Linked DNA regions of Caenorhabditis elegans. The protein of the gene in region 2 purifies or fractionates together with the protein of the main gene of each other region. This does not show direct contact. Each region holds a gene or a part of one and is shown on either strand. Other genes may lie near its edges.

Region 1 (6,768 bases), on a different chromosome or scaffold from region 2:
TACCAATACATGCATACATCATTGATATAATCCTACCACTTTTGGTTAGTGGATGGAAATTACCGTATCCAATAGTTGTATATAAACTTGCAGAATAGTATACACCTCCCCATAAATTCCATTTTGTTTCTCTCATTTGTGGTTCTTCAATCGTCACTCCCATTTTTTGTTCGTACCATTCCAAGGCATGTCTTGATTGTTCAAGTTTAAAATGTTCTCGAGACGAATTCCTGCCACGTGGATTAGTGTTATCATGCTCAATTTCTCGAAGTCTAAAACAACTCAAATTGTGCTTTGCGCGTTGTTGATATCCATCGATCAATCTGTCTTTTGCACAAACCTTTGAAAAAGTTGCTCTTGATAGATCTTTCGTCTCTCGTATACATCTTTCTCATGTTCAAACTTTTTGATAAGTTGTGTCGTTTCATAACCACCTGTAAGAAGATGAACCAGATGTGTGAGAACAATGAATTATGAGAGTTCAGAAGATCAAATAAGAAAATTAGTTTTTTTCTAGAATACTTTTACTAAAAATTTGATGTAAAAAAACTACAAACCTTCGATAGCACTGAAAATGACGCCTCCAAATAAAGAAAAAGAGAATAAAACAACAAGCCATGCAATATGTCTCCACATGGTTTTATTTCGAGCATCTCTACTTGCAATCATTACTTTTGCTTTTTTCTCTTTTTCCTTTGCAGCTAGTACTTCTGGATCTTCCTGTTGTGGAAGTTCTTCCACATCTAAATTCTTATCCTTCTTCTTCTTTTTCTTCTTTTTCTTTGATTCATCTTCAATTACTACTTTTGTATCACTTGTTTTATCACTTTTTGCATTTGCCGCATTCTGGAATATTGAAATTGAGAAAATTGAATTTCTCAGATGGAGTAATTATTTAGACTGCTAAAAACTATTACTATGGAGAGCTGTTGATTTGATGAACGTACACTATGTGTTGCTATCTGAATTGTATTAAGAAGGTGGTTCAATTTGTGCCAATTATGTTCATTATTATATTAAAAGTTTAAAAAAATTTTAAATTTAAATTTAAAACTGAAAAAAAGATTTTTGTTTATGCGCATTTTTCAGCCAAAGGTTTTGGCACTTTGCCAAATGTTTGACTTCTTCAGAAATCTAGAGCTTTCTTGCATAATAAAACCCTACATTCCATATTGAAACAAAATAAATTAAACTATTTTAGTAAATTATAAAATTAAAAAGAATTTATTTTTGGTCAATTTCCAAAACTATTATAAGTGAGTACAAAAACTTATTGAGCTCTAAAGAACTTAAATGCACATCTTACAGTAAGTTTCCTAGATGATGTAAGTACCTTATTAAAACTGGGTAAACTTTTAGACATGTTTCCAAGACCTCGATTCATTCGATCTTTCCATTTACTATCTGCACTTTTGCTCCTTCCAGCAACAATTTTATCATCTTTCTTTGTGGTTCCATTCATATCACCTTCTGAAACAAAAACAATGAGAGGATAAGTAGGTGATAAGTTGATGATAAGGAAGTGGTAATAACATAAAAATCAATGAACTCTAGAGAAACAAAAAACAATTGGATCACAGAGAGATGGAAAAGAATGCTCTTATCATTATCTTTTCTCTATCTTGAGAAGAGTGTGAATTTCCCAAAGAATCCCACAGGAGCAGGAGAGAAAGACACGGGCGAAAAAAAAACAGCAGAAAACGCAAAACGCATGATATTCTCTTTGTGTATTCTTTTACTTCTACCTTTACAACAGCGGTGCTCTCTCAAAGAGAGCACATAGGCGTCACGTCTTGATACACATTTGATGATGAAAAGGAAAAATGACGATGAGAAATGAGGAAGCTTGAGAAGAAAACCGAAGAAGAAAGATTGGGGTTTGTTGAGTTGTGTTCCTTTGGAATGTGGTATGAGAACTTGAGAAATGGGAACATCTGGAATATAAAACTATGAGGAATGTTCGGTGATCTTTCGTATTTTTTGCCATGTCAATGGAACTGAAACCGTCTAACTTGATGATAATGACCAAGATAGTCCCTTCAGTTTTGGAACAAGAGTAACAGACTCAGCAACAATATTTGTTTCAGATTGTCTTGATAAATTGCCAAATCTAAGAACGATACAATTTAGAACAATATCGCATGTTTCAACAAAGAGCTCAGTGATACTACAGTACACCTACATCACCAATTACTCCTACAGTACCAATACAGTACCCCAAAAATATATATGTTTTCTGAGTGTTCTCAGCAGTTTTCTCGTATTTTTACTATATTACAACAATTGTTTTAAATTTTCGCGGATTGTGACCTTAAAATACATTTGATTTCGACAGAAATCCGAGTGACCATGAATTTCTGAAATAAAATAAATGCATTTTAATCGTCTTCTTGTTCAATTGTTTTCCACGGAGGAATGTTCTGAAAATTGCAAATGTTTATTTTTTAAACTTTAAATTCAATTTATATGTCGATAAATTTATTTATCGATTAACAAAACAGAGAAACAAAAGCATTCTAAAAACTAATAAGGCATGAAAATAAAGTTACTACCACTTTTATCTAATTATTCGCTTCCAAGCTCTACACGAACAAAATCGAGAATGTTAGCATTGTGGGATTTTAGGTACTCATGAACAGATTGAGATGGATTCAACATGAAGGCTTGGCGGAGAAGAGCAGTTTCCGATTCATCAATATTAGTTACAACAACTGGATCAGCATTTGGATCATGCCCTTCTTGACTACGAAGCCCTTCTTGAGTTTTCACAGATTCTGCAGCTTCGCCGAGGGATTCCGGGGACATTCCGATAATGTGCTGGCATATCTGTCCGGCAAGTTGCTGACTACTGATTGACCCTGTAAATGTTAAGACTTAATTTTTTACTTTATTTCTTTGTTTCACCTGGACTCGATTGATTTAGAGCGATGAGTGAAATGAACCGTCCCATCGGGATATCATCAGTTCCATCTTTAGGATGTGAAGCTCCAAACAAAGTTGTTCCTTCGGGAGCTTTAAAAGCCTTAACTCTTCTCACTGTCATGTTCTCACCAAGCTTTCCGATTGAAAGGGAGAGCACTTCACGCATATTTTTTCCGTCGGAATCGGTCAGATCCCCAAGATCATAGGTGAATTCTTGAAGTTTTGAGCCGCTCGATATAGATTGTGGCTTAGCTTTTGCGAGAACAGAGTTGGAGATGTTTGACAACAAATCCTTGAAAGCTCCAGATCGCGCCACAAAATCAGTTTCACAACTGAGTTCTACCACAGCTGCTGTTGAGTTGTCCGTGACTACAGATACAAGACCATTCGATGTTACACGAGTTCCAAGTCTGGAATATTCTATAACTATTAAAATAATTCCTTGTGAAGTCAACATTCCAAATTAAAAAAATTTCAAAATAAACACTTACTTTGCCGCTTTGGCCCATCCTTCCTTCGCTGCAGCTTCTTTCAACCATTTTACAGCACTATCCATATCATTTTCGCCAAACTGAATAAGTGCTTTACGACAATTCACATAACTATAACCAGTCTTTTTTCGAAGAGCCATTAGAGCCTGAAAAACAATTATTTTTTATTTTTTAAAATTAATTAGGGTTCCTAGATTTTAATACCTCTTTAGAGACTTTCTTTTCGGCCTCAGCCAAGTTTCGACTAGTCGTTGATAGTAGACGTACAAATGGAGCTCTAGCAAACATTTCTAAAATTGGAAACTTTAGTTTTCAGTCAATATTGATAATTATTTTAAGAGAATAAAGCAAATTATGCAATTTTCTGGGCATTTTTTGCATTAAAAAATGAAAAGGCAAGTGCGCCCCAATGAGAAAGACGGCCGCGCGAAAGAATTCGTTTTGAACATAACAAGGAAAATGTGTTTCTTTTTTTTTAATTGCGAGGTAAATTATATTATTGAATTATTTTATTGATTATTTATAATTATTTTTAGGTGAAAACTTTAATACTATTATTTTTTGCTATTTTTTTGTTGAAATAAATTCTATAATTCCATAGAAATTTTCAGTAAAGAGATCAATGCCGAAGAGCAATCCGGTAACACCTAACAAACAACCATCAGAAGACTGGAATGAGTTACTCACAGAGTTCCGTGGAAAAGGAGGTCGGGCTCTTCAGAAAACATTCATCAGAAAATTGTGGGCAGTTCAAGAAGATATTATTGCCAATGCAAATCCATCGACTCTTCGGTGTATTTTCTTCGCACCAGCCTTGTTGATTTGTCCGGAAGGTATAAAATTATCAGCTGAAATTCTCCCAAAAATTGGTGTTGGAAATGGACTGATACTACTCGAGAAGTTAATACTAAAGTTCAATCTCACCGAGTAAAGTTTATACGCTGAAGAATTCCATTTATATATATTTTTGCAGCACTGAATGTCAAAGGTATGGTGAAGTATTCGTCACAGCTTGGAGAAATGCATATCAGGAGGCTAACTTTGATTTGACAGAGGAATTGGAGACCGATGTGATCAGTGTCATGTGTCAGCATGCATTATATGCTCACAGGCCTACCTGCACTAAATTTCAAAATGTGATTGCCGCATTTGCACACGCGAAAAAACTGGACAAAAGTGTAGATGAAATGGTGACAAGGCTTCTCAATGGATGTCTTTACCGAGCGCTGGACGCTCCAAATTACATTGTACAGTCATCAGCTGCAGAAGTATTTTTCAATTTTTACCCACTAATTGGCGAGGATACTGAAGACATGGATAGGATAATGGAAAACCAACATCGATATATGATGGACTTATTACGTAGTGATGTTATTTCCATTCGAAGCGAAGCCACGAAACATGTCTTGAAGGCAATCAGCGAATTCTGGCTTCTTATTCCAAAAAATATCGTGAAGGAACTCATGGGATACATCATTGATACAGTCGCGAAAGACACTGTTGTCAGCGTCCGCGTCGCCGTTTTTGAAGGTCTTAATGAAATGGCATTTGTTCCGGCATGTCTCACAGCATTCGAATATGGATTGAAATGTGCCGTTGATCCAGCACTACAGGATAAATCTGAACGAGTTCGTCTTGCTGCTTACCAAATAATTTCTCGTCTGAAGAATCATAAATTTATTAGGTAAAATGAACCCAAATCAACAAACTAAAAAATAAATTTTCAGTGTGTTCGATATCATTACTCGAGATGATGCCATTGCGAAACTCGATCTGGAAAACGTAGAGACCTGCCGCCGTCAACTGATTCCAATTATGCATATTTGTCTTCCTATCTCGAAAAGTCTGGATGAAGCATACTATCGTCCTCGTGTCAACTACATGTTAGGAAAAAGTCGATTGGCTCTTTTGAGTTACTTCCGATTGCTTGGCCCAATGAAAATCATTGATGCATCCCAAGCATCCAAACTTATCGAAATGTTTATAACCTGGGCATATCGTTATCTTCGTAAAAAGGATGGCCCTCCATTACCAGAGACTGCCGAAGGATACAAAAAAGCGAGAGCTTATCTTGAGTGTGCTCTCATTCTGTACATGTCATGCAAAGGAGTTAGTTTTCTATTTCTCAAATTTAAAATTGAAGACCTTTTTTAAAACATTATAAACTTCTAAACTTTTTCAGATGCTGATGTCAGATGGCGATGGAACTTCAAAAGCGAAATGTGATCAAATATTTGGAAAAGTTGTCAAGGAAATATTTGAAAAATACGCCAACACTCCTATTCTCGGAACTGCGACAGCAATCAGCAGTGTCATTCCTAAAGATTACCTTAAATCAATTGCTAATGATGTTCTCGCAAGACTGGAAGACGACGATGTTCCTCCAGAAGCAGTTGAGCCGTTTCTTGAATCTGCAATTCATTTCAACCCGGATTCTGTTTTTGATTCATTCGATAGTGGGCTTAATGTTCTTGTAAATTTGTATGGAACGAAACAGAGTAAGAAGAAACGACGTGAATTGGAGGATCCAGAAGATGTACTGATTATGACGTTGAACCGTCTCAAATATTTGCTACAGAGTCACAGTACATCAAATCTTATTGCAATGAAAGATGAATACCGAACTAAAGTCTTGGATTTGTTGAAGGTTTGTGTATTAGTTCATTATTGAAACAATAATATTATATTTAGAAAATTGATCTAATTCGAGAAGGAATTGAAATTAGGCTTGCAAAAGAAGAAGGCCAGGAGCACACTCTCAGTGATGATGTTCTTCTGTCGATACTCGAATTTAGATTCATTTTGCCCTTTTTCGCTGCAACTAATGGATCTGAAGATGCTGCGGATCGTAACCAAACTATCGAGTCAATGAAAAACCTTCTTCTTTGGTTTGAAAAAAATATTTCAAGTCAAATGGCGACTTTTGGTGAACACAATCAAGATTTTCTCATTCAATTAACAAGTACATTCTTGAATTGTGTAAACGTGTCACTATCTGCGTATGATTTCAAAACGAGACCTGTCGAATTTGAAGATGAGGAAGATAACGAGAATCGGGATCCAAGAGAAGAAAATGATGCAGCGAAAGATCAGGCTACGGTAGCAGAAGTTATAAGCAGGTAGGGTCATACGAAAGACTTAATTCTTTAGAAATGAAATATATTTATTAAGAAAGGGATTTAAATATGGAGCAACGCCAGTGGAAAATTGCTAACAACGATTCCCATACAAAAATGGTCGAATATCATAAAAAAATTTTTTTTTAAATAAGATTGTCTTAAATCTTCATTAATATCCTTTTCACTATTTAATAATTATGGAAGCCAAAAAATGGGTTTCTCTTGAACTAAAAATT
Region 2 (11,083 bases):
CAGATGAAAGGTTCAGTTCAATGGTTGGAGTTGGGGTACTGGAAATTTTTAATTGTAAGTCTACAGTAATTTAGATCAAAATTTTACTGATCTATCTTCAGAATATCAAAAAAATTGGCCAAAAGTACGAGGAATAACGGAAACTTTTAATTTAATAATTTATTTTTTCGAAATAAAATATATTCATCAAGAAAAGATTACACGAAAATCGTTGGAAGTTTTGAGACAACGTACCAAAACAGACCGATTATCATAATAAACACTCCAAAAAATTTCCAAAAAATTTTAGATTTCCCATAATTTCCGATCAAAGTTTTGGAGAATTGCCAAAATTTTCAAAAATATGAGCTTTCGAGGAAATCCAAAGAAGTGTCGCATGTTCCGGTACCTACAATGTTTTAATACGAATAATTGAAACCAAATTACAGTAAAAATTTATAGAAAACATTTTTTTCGACCGGTGTTACTGTAATGAGTTGAGTCAATATTTGTTGGTTTTAAGTACATATTGAAACGGTAAAATTTCAAAGTTTTTTGTTGGAGTTTAAACATTTTCCTTTGTTCTACTACTACAGTTTTCATAACTTTGGAAGTGAAACAGACTTTTTATAGTTCAATTTAGTATACTTTAAATGCAATTTGAAACAGTAAAAGCTCCAAATTTTTTATCTCTTGAAATTAATTGTTTTTGACCGTTCCTAATTTTCAATGTGATTAAACTTCAATTATTATTGGTAGGCTTTGAATAATATTTGAAACAGTAGAATTTTGAAATATTAAATTTCTTCGAAGCTTTGTTTCGTTCAATTTTGCAACTTTATTTTTTAGCAAATTTAGCAAACTGCTGAAAATTTACACCGATTTGAATACTTTTTTGTAGTAAATACTAAAATTTTCGTTGTTACTTGCATATTGCATATTGACGGAACTAGATTTGTTGAAATCTTGAAATTTAAAACCTTTGAACGCATCTAGAAACGGTGGAATATTGAATGATCAAAGTTTTTTTTTGTCGAATTCTTAATATTCTTTAATATGGAACACATCCAAGTTCTACAGTATGGAAGATATTATTTTGTCAACTTTAAAAGCACTTTGAAGCAGTACAAATATTTAAAGTTAGCCGTAAAAAAACAAAACAGGAAAGCAAGAAAACGGGATTTTTTTGGAGGGAAGCGATGTGGGTGGATGACACGTAAAAATTAAAAATTCGAAAAAAATTGCAGCTAAAATTTTTTTGGATCAGAGAGTCTCATATAAATAGTATTTTTCTGTAGCACCGAATATTCAGGTTATTTTAGAAATATCAGTGAGCATTCAACTACAAAAGTATATAAAAATATGCAACAAGAGTTGTGTTACTTGAGAATTTTTGCAAATCACCAAAACCAACGGAGATATGAGCTTGAGATGGTGTAAATTTACGAACACATTTTTGCTGAATACTCGATCAGTGATGACTATGAAGAAATAATATTATTCAAAAACTTTTCAAGATTTTGAATTCCTAATGAATATCCATTGTCTGGCTCCCCACTCGATGCAAATGCATGAGAAAAATCTGGAAAAAAACTATTTTTTTGAAATCTATCGCATTGATACCTACCAATCATAACGATTCTCATATTAATCGGCAACTCCTTATCAGCCTCAAACACGAATAAAAGTGAGGAAGCAAAGAATTGAAGTGATCTTTGGGTTTCAAAAAAGTTTTTGATAATTTTCAGCTTGTCCAGGGCCTCCAGAAGAACTTGATTCAGGTCAGCTTCAGATCTTGCCGAGAAAAATTCGCGGAGCCCGGTTTCAACAGTGGTTTCGTCGAAAGACTTCCCCCAGTCTTTGTCTCGCACCTCCACTTGATTGTCGGAGCGATGGATCTGAAATTGTTTTGAATTTTAGTATAATCATTTTCTTCTGGAATTTGAAAAAAAATTAGGTCTTGCCACCAAAAGCTAGTCACAGTAATCTTGAGTGTATTGTGGTATGACCCAACTTTTTTAAACATGAACTGAAATCTGTTGAAGTTAAGATGAATGTAGATGTTTTTTTTTGTTAAAACAAACTTTGCAAAAGTTGAGTCTCGCGCCAAAAAATTCTTGCTACCGTAATCCGAGCTTTTGTGGCGGTATCTAAAAGTTGAGCACTCGTCTGGCTCGGTTCAAAACTATTGTGAAAATAATCCCCAACTCCAAAATCTGTACATATTAAGTCCCTCCACCTCCAATTCCTCAAATCCTAGAAGAATTTCAAACATTCTTCCATTTTCTTCATTCTTCCCTATCCATGTCGAACAGGTGTGACCCTAATGTAATACGATAGGCCCATTTATTGTGCCGCCTCTCTCTTCCTTTCTCGCGCGGTCTCTCTGATTAGGTAATCGGAGAACTTGCCACGTGGCTGTAAACTACGGTATCAAAGGAAGAGTGCACGGAACACTTGTGCACCAGATTAACAAGTTATACAAGCACTTAATAGATGATGATCCCTTTCTCTTTTGCCAACGCATGAAGGTCAAGAGTTATGAGATGTGTTCGAATAATAACTAGGATGCACAGAAAAGCTGAATAAAATATAATTTCCGAGCTGCTGACTGTAACAGAATATGTTTAGCTCAGCTTGAAAACACTGTAGTTTGTAGTTTAAAAAATTTTACAAAGTTTTGGAATTTTTTATCTTAAATTCTGGCTAGGACAGCTTAGAATTTTCTGGCCATGATCACAAGAATTCCTAACCTCCATTCACCTGATCATTCTCCCAATGCTACTATTACGTAACTAATCAATCATCTGAGTACTCTTCCCACATATTTGGTTACTGTAGTTTACCAAATTCCCAAGTATCATTATCTACTCGACTTCCGGGGGAAGTTAATATGGGAGAAGGTGCACTTGAAACAATATACTGTGAGAGGCAGAAGGGATACTTTTTTGCTGTTATACTATGATGAGCACCAACTTTTCTTAATAGGCATGCCTGACTTTCAGTGTAAAAATCAAAACGTTTCACATAAAAATGTTCATAGGGTTGAAGTCGTGCCTGCCTACCATGGACCTAGTTTAAAACTTATTATCTCGGCTAGTTTGAATGCTAAAAAAAATGTTGTAAATTACAAAAGTATAGAAAACAAAAAGCTAAACATTTTTACAATTAACTGTAAAAACAACATAGATATATCAACTTGAACTTTCAGTCAACCTAAACTAATAAACTCAAAATCAATTTGTCTGAAATTCATAGTTTAAATAAATTTATTGCAAAAAATTAATTTTAACTCCCCGCAAACTTCCGCTTTACAAAATCAATTCATTTTTCATTCAAAAAACCAATTCCTTCCCAGCTGTCAGCCATCCGGCAACATTCATCGGAACTTGTACCTTTTCGAGAGTGTCAATGACACAATTGATCGTATAATTGCACCCATCTGTGAGCATTCGGCATTCTTTTCGCAAATTGCAACACTTAGATTCCGCCGGAAAATAGCGTGTATAACGAGAGACACAGGGAAAAGACCCGTTCAAAAACTGGCGGTATGCGGGAGTCAAGAATAGACGATTAACCCCCAGTGCTTGAGCATGATGACAGCAGTGTGTTCCGGGTAGATTTGGGAAGACAAAGAGATTTTGAATTTTTAATGATTAGACACGGATTACCATGAGTACTGTAGTCACCGGCTGGCGGCTATCATTTGAAAACGGAAAAAATATTCATACTACCGAAATTTGTTGATAAAGGCAATACTAAAGTATTAATACAGTATTCCCTGACCTCCTGACAGGCACAACGATCTTTCATTATTTGCACGAGAAGATACAGAAAAAATTGAAGTGATCTGTACTGTATCATCTGAAAGACTACAGTTTTCAAATCCTTACAGTAACCTTCACTAGGAGATTCGCAGTTGGAGTATTTCTACAGTACTCTACTGTACTATTTACAAGGCTTCCTTCAAGAGTGAGGTACAATAATATTACAGTAACTTTACAGATACATAATATTGGAATAACATACGCAACGGTCATTGCAAAAATCTTACAGTACACCTCAAAACATATCAGAAAATAACCCACCCTATATCCAAGAATCCGCATTCCCATCTTGGCCTGTGGCGGATACTTGATTCGTTCTTTTTCAATTTTCTCTGGTTTTGCAATTGGATCATAGGTCACTTGTCCCATTTTTAGATCCAGTATCGCCGGTCTCTGATAGCCAATTGTCACATCTTCCATTGCCAGGAACTCGCGGTCTGGAAAATAGTGACTTTTAGGCTGAAACTTTTTGATACCAAGTATGTAAATGTGCTCAAAACTGTGTAACTTTAGTAACTTAATCTCGTAATTTCAAATTTAGGAATACTTTTCATGCTGTTTAAGAGCTCCCTAAAAGCAGAATAATTTCAAAATCCCGCAATTTTTCCAAATCTAAATCCACCCAGTAACTGCCCGCTTTCAGTTCAAAATAGTCAATTTCCCCATGCAATTTGGCACGTCATAAAAATGTAAATTTGTTCCCCCATCTTCAAACCTTCTATGTTTTTTTTTGTTCGCAGCACGCGCATCTTATTCAAATGGATCGCATTCAAATTGGTCTCATCGTTTTACCCATTTTATCAGAATGAAAGGGAAATTGGTAGGGGGTAAAATGATGATGAGGACACGCGTGTGACACCTCTGAACCTATACCGCTTGAAGAATTGATGAAAAAAAAAAACATCTGTCATATGGCAGGATGGCGCCGTGGACGCAATTTGAATAATTTTTAGAGATGGAGATCATCAAATTTTATGGGGTGAATAAAATATGTCCAAAAAAAACAAAGACCAGTGCAACTACAAGCTTCATACTCTTGACTACAAACTACAAACTATAAACCAATTTGCCTACAAAAAGTCCCTCACCTTGCCCATCGACAAAAATGGTCTGTATTCCATAAAAGTCGGCAGTCAACTTGCAGAGCATCTCGATATCTTCCATTCGTACCCTGCAATATCCGGTTCAAATCCAATGCGATGTTTGACATGATGTCAATCAACTAACCGTTTACGTAACTCATCTGAAGTAGTAGATTCTGGTGGAGTAGACGGTGAAGTGGTACACGAGCGTAGGAGTTCGTATAAGGCAACCTGGAAGCATATTTAGATATTCTTGCGTAAGCAAGTTAAGATGGTTATCTATCTGGTTTCAAGGTTTAGTTTCCGGATGATTTGAGCGGAGAAAAGTTGAGTAATTCGGTGTAATGGACATGTGTCAGATATGAATCTTTCCTGAGTTTTGGGTGGAGAATTTTGCATTTTTCCTAAAAATCTCCCACTACAAACTGCAACTGTTGAGAGTCATTTTTGACCTTTTGATATACTTTTAGCGTAAGTTAACATCTGTGGAAAAATCCGGTCTCCGGCGGCAAAAATTGTAATTTGAAATTTACAGTAGTTTCAAAACTGAAGTTTTTGGTTTTCATCCGAAATAAAATTTAAAATCCGTGAATTTTTTGTGATTTTTAACATGAGAACTCAGGGTCAGGGAAAAATTTAGAAGTTTTCCTATATCTTTGATAAGTTAAACATTCTAAGGGTGAATCACAAAAGTCCCTTGTCTTCCATTACATGTTCACCCGGATCATCACCCCTCCCCCAATGCTACTATTACGTAACTAATCAATCATCTGAGTACTCTTCTCACATATTTAGTTACTGTAGTTTACCAAATTCCCAAGTATCATTATCTACTCGACTTCCGGAAGGAGTTACTATGGGAGAAGGTACACTTGAAACTATATACTGTGGGAGGCAGAAGGGTGACTTTTTTGCTGTTGATGCTATGATGAGTACCAACTTTTCTTGTTAGGCATGCCTGCATTTCAATGTAAAATTAATACAATAGATCTCCGGACTAAAATTATAACTTGAATTTTCAATGAATTATGTTACACCAGATCTATAAAGCAATTAGAACTATTCAAAAAACGAATTTGATACTGCCAAAATCAAATGCCTTACAACTAAGGATTATTGAATGTACCAGTGCAATTCATTTTTACAACTTCTAAACAGTTGAGCTTGCCCATTCATACCTTTCCCTAACGTACAAGAAATTTGACCCCTTGTAAACTATGCTTATTAAAAAATACCAAAAAATGGTGTAAATTAGTACCAATTAGTATTATTGCGCCACCCCCGTCCAAACCCTTGGGAAAAATTCCAATGTTATCTGAAACCCATTCCCATTTTCCCACCAAGCCCGTTATTTATGTGTCCTCTATTTTTCTCTCCATATGTCATAATTTTCATGGTCACAGGTGTCCTTTTCCATCGCAACAACTTCCCCCACCAAACGTCTGGACAGAAGCTTGCGTCATGCCACGTTTCCGTGTCAACTGATGATGAGATTGGGTGACGTCATCAGTATTGTCATATGGATGTGAGAGAGACATGTACATGTAATATATAGTTAGATGATACCTTTATAGGTACTGTAGTTTAGTAGATTTCAGAATGATTACAAAAAAAATCAAATTTAACTGGAAACAGTCAAACCAACCTCTTTCTCTCCTCTTGACGCATCTTGTTTTGGTTTGAGGATTTCTCGGGACCCGGGGATTTTTAGAAGACCTGAAACTTTTTTTTGTTAAATCTTTTTTTTCTGAAAAATGGTAATTGCCATGTGCATATGTAATTGAAAATTTTCATCTTTGATCTGTTCATTTCTACCGAAATTTTCCAAAAATTCTCAATGGGTTTCTATTTTAATGTAGTATGAAATTTAGATTTCTCCTAAATCACGTTTTCCCGGATTCAGAGAGCTAAAAATTTTGAATTCGCGGGGTCATTTTTTTTTGATCAAGTTAGGTCAAAAATTTGAACAAAATAGTTAACAACTTCCAGAATTTGCCTACCTTGACACTGCTTAAAAATCTTTGAAAGTCTTCAAAAAAAAATTTGTAGCATTTTTTTCTGCCCTAGAAGTTTGTGAAAAAAATTCAAAGTTCAAATACAAGTAAACTCTAAACATAACCCCTATCCACAGTTCAAAGCCTCCAAACACATCCGCCCTCTATTGGAACCCTATTTGCTCCGATTTGCATAATAATGTGCGATTAATCTCTCTCTTAGCCACAAAACGACTTGTTGTCTATATCCTTTTGTTTTTCCAGCACTCCCTTTGTTTGTTCAGCTGTAGATGAGCCACCACACCTAGGGCTCTTTTTCAAATGTTTGGATTTTTCGGAGAATTTTTGAATTTGAATTATCTGGAGCTTACTTTAACTACTTAGAGCAGAAAGTGATTAGAAATTGAATTTTTCAAAGTAAATACTTCAAAAAAATTAAAAACTTACCAATTTCTCTTTTCCCATTTTTGATAACCGACGGATGATGCCCAGCAATTTGATCCGAAAACCATTGATATTTTTCTGGGAGCCCGTCATTTGATAGCACACTCATATCTGGAAACTAATGTGGTTTAGAAAAATTCATAAAGACTGATAAAAGATTATTTGAAGTTATGATAATGCAACTATTTCAAAAACCTAACTTTTTGAAAATTCCCAACTTTTTATAACGTTAATGTCAACTATGTTATGAGTTATCAAATCAAAAAAAAATCTTGCCAAAAAAAATCCAAAAGGAAAAAAAACTACTATGTTCAACTAGAGCCTTAAAAAATCGATTCCAATTCTTCATGGCAGGCGAAGTGGGCCGGTTCACACAAAAAGATTAGATAAATCATAAATAAAAAGGTATATATTGACACGATAAATAGTCCTGAACGAGTTGAAAGTTATATTTAAAAAAATCTAATTTCAGAACATAACCCAAGTTCTAGGAGATGGCTCCCACTCGAATCTTCATTGGCCCTCCTGGCAAATTTCTTTAAAAAAATTATTTTAAAAACTACCATTACAAATCAACCCACTTTTGTATTATTTAGACTATCCAATAACCCTCATTCATCCATAATACACACCTACATTGGGTGTATCTTTTAAAGAGGGTGTCTAAGATATCCTGCCAGTCGGTAAGAGTGTGTGAAAGCGACCCGAGCACACATGTTCCCAAAATTCTAGTTATATCGAGCACACGTAGCAGAAGAAAAATAGAGCATAACATGTAATTAATGCGAGAGGTGTCCAGAAGGTGTGGAAGTTATCATTAGGAAAATGTATTATTTGAATTTTTGGGTAAACGATTGGAACTGAGCAAAATGGAGGCTGTACAACTATTAAGATGAAGATATGAAACAGTAGAAAAGTGCTCCGACGAAATTCAGGAAAAGCAATGAATTTTTGCAATTTTCAGTGCAATGTCTATTGAGTTCATTGTGATTTGAGCTGTTGATAAGAAATAGAGCAAACAACAATTTATTTGTGTAGGCGTCCAATTTTCTTGAAAATCATAACAAATTTCAAGAAATGGCTCCACTTTGGTTGCCAATATCTCAGTTCATTTTAAAGAGATCTATTACGATTAAATTACAGAACGATAGAAAAAGAAGTAAAAAATAGTTTGTTAGTTGAAAACGTTTTGATACAACTAAAAACAACCGAGATATTCTCTCTTGAAGTAAGAGGCTTATAGAAGAATTGCAATACAAAAAGAAATCGCGAGCGCACATATGTTTCAATATGTCGCTGGTTGTGTACGTACAGACCGAAACAAAGTTGAAATTATGAACAATAGAGAAAGAGAGATTGTTTAGAGAAAACATGGTGAAAACCAAACAGATATGAAATCATTTTTACACCTGACATTGGGAAATATACTTGGACAAATTAGTCACCAGGCACAACAAATATTCGAAAACAGACATTTCACAAACTAGATATTGTGAAAAATTGCAATAATGGTCCAATTGAAAAAACGAAAAATTCCGGTAAATTTTAACCCTAAAATTATAAATTTCACAATACTGTTTACAGTTTAAGAAAAAAGCACAATTTTAAAAAGATTGGTAAGCCTGGGTTTTTGTACCTACAGTACCCAAAATTTTTTAAAGTAAAGTCTCCATTAAAAAAAAAGCGATTTCGGGGTTACAGTACTTTTAGGGAAAATTGCTAGAAATTATCTAAAAAGCTGAACAGTAGTTTGTTGTATTAGCAATTTTTGATATGACTACGGTATCTTTGAAAAAAACGCACTATATAGTATATATATATATATATTTCAATGCACCATAGTTCACGACAAAATGCACAGGCCTATTGTGTAGGGTGTCTTTTTGAAACTACAGCACTCAAAAGTACCGAAGATTGTGCAATTTGATATTATGATTGGGAGATGATTGCGTACTTTTGTGACTACATTAATCCAAATTATCATAACATTTCCCTACATTCACCACCTCACCCTCACCTGACCTCCTAATCCTACCATAAAAACTCGGGATATTGCTCCTTGCCCATAATCCATTTATGATCCGTAAAGCTCCCGAAAACAGTGCTAAAAAGCGAAAACAAATTGCGTAATAATTACGAAAACTAATTAAAACTCGGGGATCCCAATGATTCTCTTGTGTAATCCCTCCCTTTCTTGGTAGGTAGGTGAATGAGGCTGCAACCTCCTGTTCAAAATCCTAAACCACCTGCTCCGGAAAACGAAGACATTTGGACTATTGAGAGAACAGGAAATCACCAACGGGCGTAAACATTCGCGTGACTAGTTTAATTGGGAAACAGAAAAAGGAGTTTGAATATTCTTGGAATTTTTGGAATTTCTTAGTTAATTCCAGAAGAAAAAGCAAAAATTACCAATTAAAAAGCCTAAAAACTTTTCTATTTTTTCTACGTATCAGTAGCACGCTCTGGATATTCCGTTCAAAAGCTACGTGGCAATTTAATAAAAGTAAATTAGTCCCATATTTATTTTCCGGGCAAAAATAAAACAGTTTTTCATAGAAAAATGACATTAAAACAGGATAAAACTTGGGGTGTATGGGGAAAATTTAAGAGAAATAGAATTGGGAGAAGAGACATAGACACAACTCCAACATGGAGTAGAAGAGACGCAGAAAGTGTAACAAAAAAAGTATGAAATTGGGTGAAAACAAAGAAGACACGTTTTGATGGGTGGGGGCTTAAAAGTGCGCTAACAAACTCTATTTGTAAGGGTAAAAATAGAAGTAGAAAAAAAACAAAATTTCACTGGATTCTGATGTGTTTGTGGAACTATAGCTAAACATTTTGATAATTTGAAAAATAAATGGTTGAAAAGTTTTACCAAGAATTTCAAATAAAAAAGTATGAAATCTACAAATTGGAGATCAGGACGCCTCGAATGTGTCGTCCCAAAATCTCGGGCTCCTCTGAAGTTGTCGCTGTGGCACCTGTCAGATCCTCAAACTGCGTGGAATCGAAATTCTGACGGCGGAACTTGTTGATATTGATATATGTGTGATTGATCTCCGAATCACTGATACTGCCAGCTTCCTCATTTGAATCGGTATGTGGTGGAGAGATCGAGTAGGCCGAATCCGAGTTGTTCGGTGTGGAACTTCGGAGTGGTGAAGCCATGCGGGCCCTTCGACGAGTCGGTCGGGTCTCTGGCATATCAACTGGATAGTACTTGAGACATTCCGAACTAGACGAGAGTAGCTTTTGGGTCTCGCCACGACGGGGGTGGTTACGTCTTCGAGCCTTCCGTTGACACTCTTCGTTGAGATCGTGATGATAAGTCGGGTACCTGTAATTAGGTATGAAAGTACCGAAGTGAAGAAATAGCAGATGACTCTAATTATAGAGAACGGGCAGTGCCGCATCGCGTCTCGCGCAACACTACTGACCGTATCTGGTTTCCTGTATGTGCGCTAATTATGGCGTCATAGAGCAAATCTTGTTAGTTGCTAGAGAAATTTGATACAAAAACCATCGTTTTTTTGATTTATTAAAAATTGTCAATTAAGAAAATGTTTTTAAAAATGTATTTTCCTATAAGTTTGAAGTTTAAAAATGTTGTGTTATCTGTAAAATAACCAGAGCTCTCTAACTGGCAACATCGCAAAAAATCAATCAGTTACTTGCCAGAATAAGTTTCTAGAGTTTCAAATAATTTTAAAAAAGCAACATCAAAAATAGAAAAACTGAAAATATTAGCTAA

The links. Proteins that work in one complex are often made in the same cells at the same time.
Region 1: the proteins of ipmk-1 (region 2) and tsfm-1 fractionate together in Caenorhabditis elegans (co-fractionation; one large-scale study listed by BioGRID). This does not show direct contact.

What each region holds. Positions count from the first base shown.
Region 1 is NC_003283.11:12,267,849-12,274,616, forward strand, and holds tsfm-1 (Elongation factor Ts, mitochondrial), read right to left. Parts: upstream 3,704-6,768; 5' UTR 3,702-3,703; coding exon 3,618-3,701; intron 3,560-3,617; coding exon 3,414-3,559; intron 3,333-3,413; coding exon 2,905-3,332; intron 2,859-2,904; coding exon 2,566-2,858; 3' UTR 2,423-2,565; downstream 1-2,422. Other genes in the region: twk-24 (Potassium channel domain-containing protein), read right to left, coding at 1-272, 341-434, 558-846, 1,334-1,462; capg-2 (CAP-G condensin subunit), read left to right, coding at 4,036-4,340, 4,387-5,097, 5,141-5,522, 5,596-6,060, 6,105-6,532. UniProt on the Caenorhabditis elegans protein: Associates with the EF-Tu.GDP complex and induces the exchange of GDP to GTP. It remains bound to the aminoacyl-tRNA.EF-Tu.GTP complex up to the GTP hydrolysis stage on the ribosome.
Region 2 is NC_003282.8:12,544,484-12,555,566, reverse strand, and holds ipmk-1 (Kinase), read right to left. Parts: upstream 7,444-11,083; 5' UTR 7,436-7,443; coding exon 7,330-7,435; intron 6,605-7,329; coding exon 6,534-6,604; intron 5,120-6,533; coding exon 5,034-5,119; intron 4,978-5,033; coding exon 4,895-4,977; intron 4,244-4,894; coding exon 4,068-4,243; intron 3,537-4,067; exon of another isoform or gene 3,362-3,536; intron 1,878-3,361; coding exon 1,607-1,877; intron 1,562-1,606; coding exon 1,461-1,561; 3' UTR 886-1,460; downstream 1-885. Other genes in the region: Stork-head box protein ham-1, read right to left, coding at 10,237-10,669.